Daphnia pulex: one gene and its partner. The protein of the gene in region 1 purifies or fractionates together with the protein of each later gene. This does not show direct contact. Links are inferred from orthologs where the notes say so. Each region holds a gene or a part of one and is shown in the gene's direction. Other genes may lie near its edges. The genes, in order: ribonuclease 3-like and microprocessor complex subunit DGCR8-like.

Region 1 (4,433 bases):
CTCGAGGGACATTATTCCTGTCACTGTACTCACAATGAATGGGAGAACACTGTTGGAATAATTGTTTGAACACGACTCACCCTAGGGGAAGATAAAAAATAAAGAATTCTTCTTTCAAATGTGATAAAGTGGCCACCAGTCGCCACCATCCTTTTAAAATGATTTGATATGGTTTACATGCATCTCAGTAGATTTCCTGGAAAATGGCGATGTTAACGTGAGATATTAGCAATTTCCCAGTTTGCATCACAAGAAGATTAGTGTCTAGAAATTAATTGTAGGTAATTAATGAGGTATACCATTAAGCTAATTGCTCTAGATAGAAATGACTCAAATGAGAAGTTTGGTAACAAAAAAATCAAAATGGTTTCTTTGCAAGGAGAGGTCGATTCCGACGCCATATTTCCCTTATCTTGCTGTGAACGTCGTCCTTAGCAACTTTACACAAATCCTTGTTTGCTTAAAAAGTTGGACGTTTCTAGAAAAAAAAGATACTTGCCTTCTCCCAAGCAATCAATACAACTCAGTGTGGTCGGATAAGGACCGAGAAGAGCTGGCCTTATTTTGCTTCATCACCCTCAACTTTTGATCTTGGGTTTGCAAAATCGATGGCGTGCGGCAAGTTCGTACAATACCAATAGTTTGGAGGAGAGTGTGTCCCCAATACTATCCATTCTACATACATTGAGTCTAAACAATACATGAATGATACAGCATCATCGATTGGGAGATCGACGAGAGCAAAGGACAATACATTCAGTCAATATAATCGAAACGCATGGTTCCTATTGGATCGATGTCTATTGGATCAAAGGGAAATGACGATTTTAGATAATGCTTCCGTCCGCTTCCGTCTGAGCAGAGCATGTGAAATTTGATCATCCAGTTGATGAAACTACAAGAGACACTCGCGACAGAGAATTCCAATAATCAATATGATGAAGAAATATAATATAGTTACTGTATATCAGCGATCAGTTGCAAACGCACATGAGCGCACTGATGACCAATAAGGCAATAACATATCGAATTATCAAGGGATTCCCCTAAAAAAAAACAAGTGTAATTACGACTACTATATGTTCTGGAGCGTTATAGGTAATCTTAATCTTAATTAAACGACCAACGACAAATAAGTGCAATTTGCTTGTGAGGAAATTTGGTACTATGGCGCAACCTTTTTTTTAAATAAACGAGCGTAACATAACTGACCTTTGAGTTTTCTTAGGATTTAAAATAGTATTAAAAAGAATAGCCTCACGCTCGATTGTTGATGGGTCTTTCACTCTTTCTTTCAATTTAGCTCACACAGCCTCACTGTAGTATTCAGACACACCACAAGGAGCGCTGTATGTCTGTACTCTTAGGAGTTGTGGATCAGTGTTAGGGCCTTTAATTGTATCTCAGCGAAAGTCGAGGCGGAATTTGGAGTAAGTTAACCGGCCTCATTTTCTAAATTTGTGAAACACATTTCTTGAATGTTTTTTTTTCTTTCAACGTGTGTCACCTAGTATTAACTTAACTCGGTATACAAGCTAACGGTACAAAAGCTAGAATTCAAGAAGTCCAACAGAATCAGCAATTTGTTTCGATTCTCCTATTAATCCTATTAATAATACGTCGATGTTTTAGAAATGAAGCCTGTAGAAATTCTCGCTAACTTACATCCAGCTTTTACTTTGTAAAGGTTGTCAGGGGTTGTCAGACCCAACAAACGTGACAGTCTCATTGTTGTTTGACCAACAAAACAAAAAGATTTTTAATGTGAGTTTTCAGCAATCAATGTTATTTTTTATTTGATTTTGAATGCCCTTCTTTCTTCTTATAGATGGATGGTCACAATAACCAGCAACCACCGTTTCCATTGTATTATGGATACCAATATGCTCAGCCTCAGCCCAACAATTTCCCTCATGCAATGCAATATAGTTTTCCTCCTCCCCCATTCCATGAAATGAATTTTCCACCCCCTATACCTTATGGGATATACCCACCACCACCACCACAACCATTTGCAATTGGCCCACATGCACAACAAACAAGTTACCCACCAGCAATTTCCCATTCTTTTGTGCCAAACTATCCTCCATTGAATCAGTATCCCCAGGCTGCCCCGTATCTCTCAGCCCAGCAACGTCCATCAGCTTGCAGTTCTATGCCCACAAGTAACACTCACCCACAAACTAATAAAGTTTCAGGATCATATTCAAGTCATAATTCCACATCGAAAAGACCTTTACCTATTAAATCAAGCCAAAAGCCTCACTCCAGTTCTTCATCTTCTACAAGAACAGAGTATAAGAAGTCACATCAACATTCTGCTCATGAGGATGAACCTATCACCCCACCGGACGAATATTCTAGCCTAACTCCTGAAGAAATTATTGAAAATGAGAAGAAAACATGGACTCGTTGTGCGCCTGCAGATCTGTTCTATGCTCGGGATCTGGACAATCCTAAATTGATGCGTGGCACCGACAAATTGAAAGCTACTATTGATCAATTTCGCATTAAGCTGCTAGAGCGTGGCGACAAAGCTCGTACAATGCAGCCCAAATTTGATTACCCTCCCCGTAAAACAAGGAGACACAGTACGCAGTGTGGCGGTTCTTGCAAGGATAAATCCAAAAAGACTTGCGAGTCCGATTCAAGTACTTCTGATTCTTCTTCAGAGGAGGAAGACGAAGTTGATCTAGTTCTTCAAGAACTGGAACGAAAGAAACAACATCCGTCAAGACTTCACCCTGAACTGTGGTTCAATGATCCAGGAGAAATGAATGACGGTCCTTTGTGCCGCTGCAGGTAAAGAAAACATTTCCATTTTATTTCTATTTATTTTCATAATAAAATAAAAATCTTGTTTCTCTGTAGTTTCAAAGCACGTCGGACTGGTATTCGACATGGTATCTACGCAGGAGAAAAATCGTCTATGATATGTGACCGGAATTCTAACAACGGTGACATTTTGCATCACTACCGAGTGACCATTTCCCCACCGACAAATTTTCTCTTAAAGAGACCGACCGTTATTCATCATGATGGACACGAGTTCATTTTTGAAGGTTTCTCGCTTTTGTCTCACTACCCACTAGATAAAGTGCCTACCTGCAAAGTCATTCGATTCAACATTGAATATACGTAAGTGTCCCATATTTTTCATTTCGATCCAACAGACATCATGGTAATATTTAATTTTCGGTATAGAATCGTCTACATTGAAGAAAAAGTTCCCGATAACTTTACAATTCAAGAACTTGAATTGTTTAGTCACTATCTATTCCACGAGTTACTTGAGTTGGTCGACTTTAACCTCCATGCAGCTGGAGATACGAACGGTTGTCCGCAATTTCATATCCTACCGCGTTTTGTGAGAGACTTACCTGACCACGGCAAAGAGATGTTGTCGATGAACCAAGTGCTACAGTATCTAATCCAACAGAACGTTCCAGTGATTGACGAAACAGAATTGGGTTATCAACTTAAACTACCCCAGGTACGGTTTTATACTGCCCTAGTTTTGTGTGTTGACATTTTTACATTGGTTGAAATAAATGTTCTAACTGTTTCCTATTTTTTACGGTTTCTAGCATGATTGGCAGAATATGGCTGATTTTACAAAAGGAATGATTGTCACGAAGCCAGGTTCCAAGCCGTGTTCCCTCAGGGTTGACCAGCTTGATCGCGACCAACTCCGGATGGATGTCATCAGCTACCCGGAGATTGTCCATTTTGGCATAAGGCCACCTCAACTCAGCTACGCAGGCAATCCCGAGTATCAAAAAGCATGGCGAGACTACGTTAAATTTCGCCACCTGCTAGCCAATATGCCGAAGCCGTCATTTGAAGACAAGCGCAAATTAGAGGCAAAGGAGAACAGACTCCAGGAAATGCGACTCCAGAATAATATGAAGCGCGATGTAACGGTCGCTGTTTCTAGTGAAGGATTTTACCGAACCGGAATTATGTGTGATGTCGTCCAACACGGGTAGAACAAATTCTCCACTTACTTTTTAACTCTTTATTTATATGTATTTTTATTTTTTACCTATTCCTTTAGAATGTTACTCCCAGTGCTGATTACGCACTTACGCTTCCACAAGTCACTCGATGTTCTGGAAGACAGGATCAAATATCGTTTCAAGAATCGATATTTGCTTCAATTGGCTCTTACCCATCCTTCGTATCGTGAAAATTTTGGAACTAACCCGGACCATGCCCGCAACTCTTTAACCAATTGTGGAATACGTCAGCCGGAATATGGTGATAGACGCATTCACTACATGAACACACGAAAACGAGGAATCAACACATTAATCAACATCATGTCCCGGTATGAGATGTTAACAGTTTTAAATGCTTTCCATTCATCTCTGTAACTAAATTTGATTTCGTTAACAGCCTTGGCAAGAAGCAGGAGACAGAATCTAGTATCA
Region 2 (4,276 bases), on another chromosome or scaffold:
GGACGAAAGCTGGCTATGCTCTGTTTCATTTTGCTCCGCCAAGAAAAAAGAATGGCGGCGCTTGAGGACGGCGCTGAGCTGAGCTGATTGAGCTGAGTTGGTGGACGACAAGGGGAGAGACTTGTGGTTGTTGGCAGGCAAACATGTGCCGCAGCAGTTAACCAGAAACAAAGAGGGGGTATGTTATTTTTTTTTTTTTTTTTCAACCAAATACTACGGCTGTATGGATGGGGTAGTGGGGTAGTAAATCAAATGAAAAAATCCTGTGAAAGCAATAGGTTTTGATTTAAATAAGCAGCTCCGATATATATATATATAAAATTTGATATTTAATAATCAATTTGATTGAAATTCAAAAGTAAAAAAAAAAAGTTAGAATTTATTATTTTTAACCGTACCTTCCGCGGAAATCGGCACCGCCACGGGGCCCTCCGCGGCGATCACCTCCGCGATCACCACCACCACCTCCTCCTCTGGGTCCATTCCTCTCTCTGGCTCTGCCAGAAGACATCTCCACCCTCACACGAGAACCACAAATCCTCCTACGAGAAGTCAATAATTAATTTTACATAATTAATTACCATTGTATGTAATTTGGTTTCTTACGATCCATCCATGGCTCTAACTGCATCTTCAGCATCTCTGGGATCCTCATACTCAACAAATGCAAAGCCAGGGGGATTTCGGGCAACCCAAACATTTTTCAAGGCTCCATATTTGCTGAATGAAGCTTCCAAGTCACCTCTGGCTGTGTTATTGCCCAGATTGCCAACATAGACTTTGCATTTCAAATCCCATTCACGATGACGCGACATTCTAAAGAGGAAATGAAAATTTTGATGTTGAAATCTGGGTTTGAAAATAACTATGCTCGATTAACCGCCATCTTGCTTGGCTAGCCCGACCAAAGGCATCACCAAAAACATAAAAAGCATCTCTAATGAAATGCACAGAAAAACAATTGCATACACAAAAATGAACTAACAAACAACAATAAAGAAGAATGTTGTGACTACCTTTCTTGTTCCGGAATTTTGAATGTATTTTCTTTAGCAAATTTGGTTTCAGTATCGTTTTCAACGAGATGCTAGATTAAGAGTAACCTGAAGCGGAGTGAAAACTGACTACGTCATAAAGCTGTCAACAAAATGGAAAATCAGCGCTGCCATGCGGCAACAAAATCAACAAAAACATTTTTGCAAAAGACAAAAAAGTATGATTTTAAGTTTGTATTTGGAATATTGTGCAATTTTTAATCAAGGATATTTTTATCAGATTTATATTAGAATTTTTTATTACAATTAGATCGTCTTTAGATGGCGTTGTAGACGAGGCAACAACAGATTGATTTTCGAAAAAAGTTCGTCTGCTAAGCCATATTTTTTTAGAAATCTTTTACAAACAAACTCGAGTTATTCATCCTTTGACGATTCTATTGAATCAAATTATTATTTTGATTTGAAGTTTTGAACTAATATTGGCATTCTACTTTAAAACTATAGTTGCTAATATAAATCCAATTATATACAAATAAAAGCGGTTCTTCATCCGTCACGTCGAAATACGATAGCACTATATCATTGCTTTGCCAAGTTTGAGGAAAATCTTCCCGAATGCTATTGATGTGTGTTCGATTTTGATTTTCTCAGAAGACAAGGCCTATGATGTAGATGCTCATTCTTCCATTTACACATTGTAATTCATAGATATTAAGACCAGTTAACTTTATTTGTGGATTTCCAATTCCACACCTTATCTTAAGTTTGGTTTCTACTCTGTGCATGACAGAATTTGAAATGGAAGAGATGAAAGATATTTTGGAAGGTTCTCAACTAGTGGATGATATTGATCCCGAAGAAGATGACGCAGATGGACTGTACAAAGATTTCAGTAATATGAGAGAGTTTCATGTATTAGATGAAATAGTTGAAAGCAACGCTAATGATGACGATGAGTGTAAGGAAAATTCAGAGAGTGATTTCAGCAGTTCCAATGAAGCAGACAGTGAAGAAGATTTTGATATACAACAAGATGAAATTGATGCTATGTTGGAAGAAGGTAACTTTACAAACTATATGACATTTGTTGTGGATATTTTTTACCTGTAACTTGTAACTTTTAAGGTTTACCAGAAGAAATGAAATCTAGGAAAAAGTTCAAAAAATCAGATGGTTCTTCCAAGCCATCTGGTAATGGGGATGCAAGTATGGCATATGAAGAAAAAGAAAAAATTGTTCTTGAAGGTAACACTTTCAGGTTATTCCTTAAAAACATTTAATTTAAAAAAGTTTTTTAATTTTTATTTTGTGTTTTTAAGAAAAGGGTAAGAACCATTTCGAAGTTTTGCCTGAAAATTGGGTCCAAGTTACACACAACAGTGGAATGCCTATCTACCTTCACAAACCTACACGGGTTTGCACCCTTGCTAAGCCTTACTTCCTTGGACCTGGAAGTGCCAGAGTAATTTTTAAATTAAACATTACTTTTTTGTTTCTATTTAAACTCCCGAGTTCCGATCTTTAGAAACATGCAGTGCCAATTAGCGCCGTACCTTGCCTACATTACCAAAGAGCCAAGGAGAAAGAAGAACAGAAATCCGAAGAGCTATTAGAGGCCTCAGCTAACACTGCAGCAGATGGTACTGCTCATGTTGCCCCTGATATCCCCTGTGCTCGGATCGAATCAGTCCAAGAGAATCAGGCAGCACATTCTCTCAATGGAGTTCAGCTGCGCGAATACTGCTCCAAACGATTTGATTTTAAAACCGTCCGCCTTATGCGATTTAAGTGAGTAATTTGCTTAAATCTTATTAATACCTACTCATTCATTCATCGTTAAAAAATTCATACAGAACATGGGCAGCTAGGAGAAAGCACACCAAACTGCGGAAACAACGACAGATTTACCCCCAATCTGGTCTTTCCTTGAATGAGGATAAGAAACAAGTGATTGGCTCAAGCCAAAGCCCTGTTGAGGATGACGATGCTAAATTGTCACAGACGGCTGAACTGGGTCGACCAACTTTACCTAAAGGGACCAAACTTATAACCTTCCCTATCGGACATTCCATTCCGGCAACACACAACGATCCGACCTCCCAAAGCGAAGGACAAGGTGCTGCTGGTGGAGCTAATGGGTAAGTAAACATTATATATTGAAGGCTTCAATTGTGATAACAATTTCTTGTTTGTAAATCTCACAGTGGATCGCGACGGGAATGGATTATGAATCCGGCAGGGAAAAGTTACGTTTGCATCCTCCATGAATACGTTCAACATGCCCTTAAGAAGCAACCTGCCTATACATTTAAAGAAATTGGTATATTCGACTGCCCATAATGCAACGATTTTTGTTTTCATTGTTTTATCGGGTAATTTTTGTTCGACAGAGAATGCAGCAACGCCTTATAGTGCTACGGTATTGATTAATGGAATGCAGTACGGTACTGGGGTCGGTTCGAGTAAGAAAGCCGCCAAGGCGGAAGCAGCGAAAGCGACACTAGAAGTTCTTATTCCACAGATGAAGGAAAAAATATTGGACGAGGCGGAACCAGGTCACAAGGGACCAAATCATCAGTCTGACTTAGATCTATCCGTACGTTGCATTTAATTTTGCTATTAGATGCATTGAATGGTGTTACTTACCGTTTATTGTAAAGCAGTTTTTCAACGAAATTCGAATAGAAGACCCTCGCGTTGCCGAACTGTGTGCAAAAACGAGCGAACCATCCCCTTACGCAATCCTCCTCACATGCCTTCAAAGGTGATTCAACAGTTTTTCTCTTTAGCGTATTGAACGATTTTCAATAATTATGAATGTTGCAGAAACTTTGGTTTAGGCGATAAGAACGTCAAGTACGAGCTCAAAACATTGAAACATCAGAAAAACGAAGTAATAATGACGGTTGGAAAGCATACAGTTCAAGTACCATGCAAGAATAAAAGAGATGGAAAGCAAAGAGCAGCCCAGGCCATATTGCAGGTGAATTGTAATCAACTTGAACATCAGTTTCAGATTTTTAAATTTTGCGATTTGTTTTTCTTCATCTGGGAGAAGGCGCTGCATCCTCACATTTCTAGTTGGGGTTCATTGCTTCGTCTTTATGGTTCACATTCGCTTAAAACAGTAAAAGAGAAGAAACAAGAAGAACAGCAAATCACTCTACTCCAAAGCAAAGCAGCTGTCAACGCGCCCAATTACGCCATTCTGAACAAGCTTAGACAAGAAATGTTGAAGTTACGACAGATGAGGGTACGCAACGGCAGCTGTGATAGGG

Evidence for each region.
Region 2: the proteins of ribonuclease 3-like (region 1) and microprocessor complex subunit DGCR8-like purify together in Drosophila melanogaster (affinity purification with western blotting; 4 studies listed by BioGRID, with this or other methods). This does not show direct contact. The link is inferred for Daphnia pulex from reciprocal best matches to the Drosophila melanogaster genes drosha and pasha.

Annotation. Positions count from the first base shown.
Region 1 is NC_060020.1:4,125,873-4,130,305, reverse strand, and holds the start of ribonuclease 3-like, read left to right. Parts: upstream 1-1,422; 5' UTR 1,423-1,764; intron 1,765-1,828; coding exon 1,829-2,802; intron 2,803-2,871; coding exon 2,872-3,138; intron 3,139-3,204; coding exon 3,205-3,493; intron 3,494-3,587; coding exon 3,588-3,985; intron 3,986-4,057; coding exon 4,058-4,330; intron 4,331-4,398; coding exon 4,399-4,433.
Region 2 is NC_060024.1:13,485,275-13,489,550, reverse strand, and holds the start of microprocessor complex subunit DGCR8-like, read left to right. Parts: upstream 1-1,367; 5' UTR 1,368-1,781; coding exon 1,782-2,058; intron 2,059-2,123; coding exon 2,124-2,243; intron 2,244-2,317; coding exon 2,318-2,460; intron 2,461-2,523; coding exon 2,524-2,786; intron 2,787-2,851; coding exon 2,852-3,136; intron 3,137-3,202; coding exon 3,203-3,318; intron 3,319-3,388; coding exon 3,389-3,594; intron 3,595-3,658; coding exon 3,659-3,762; intron 3,763-3,824; coding exon 3,825-3,981; intron 3,982-4,056; coding exon 4,057-4,251; intron 4,252-4,276. Other genes in the region: RNA-binding protein 1-like, read right to left, coding at 399-542, 607-815.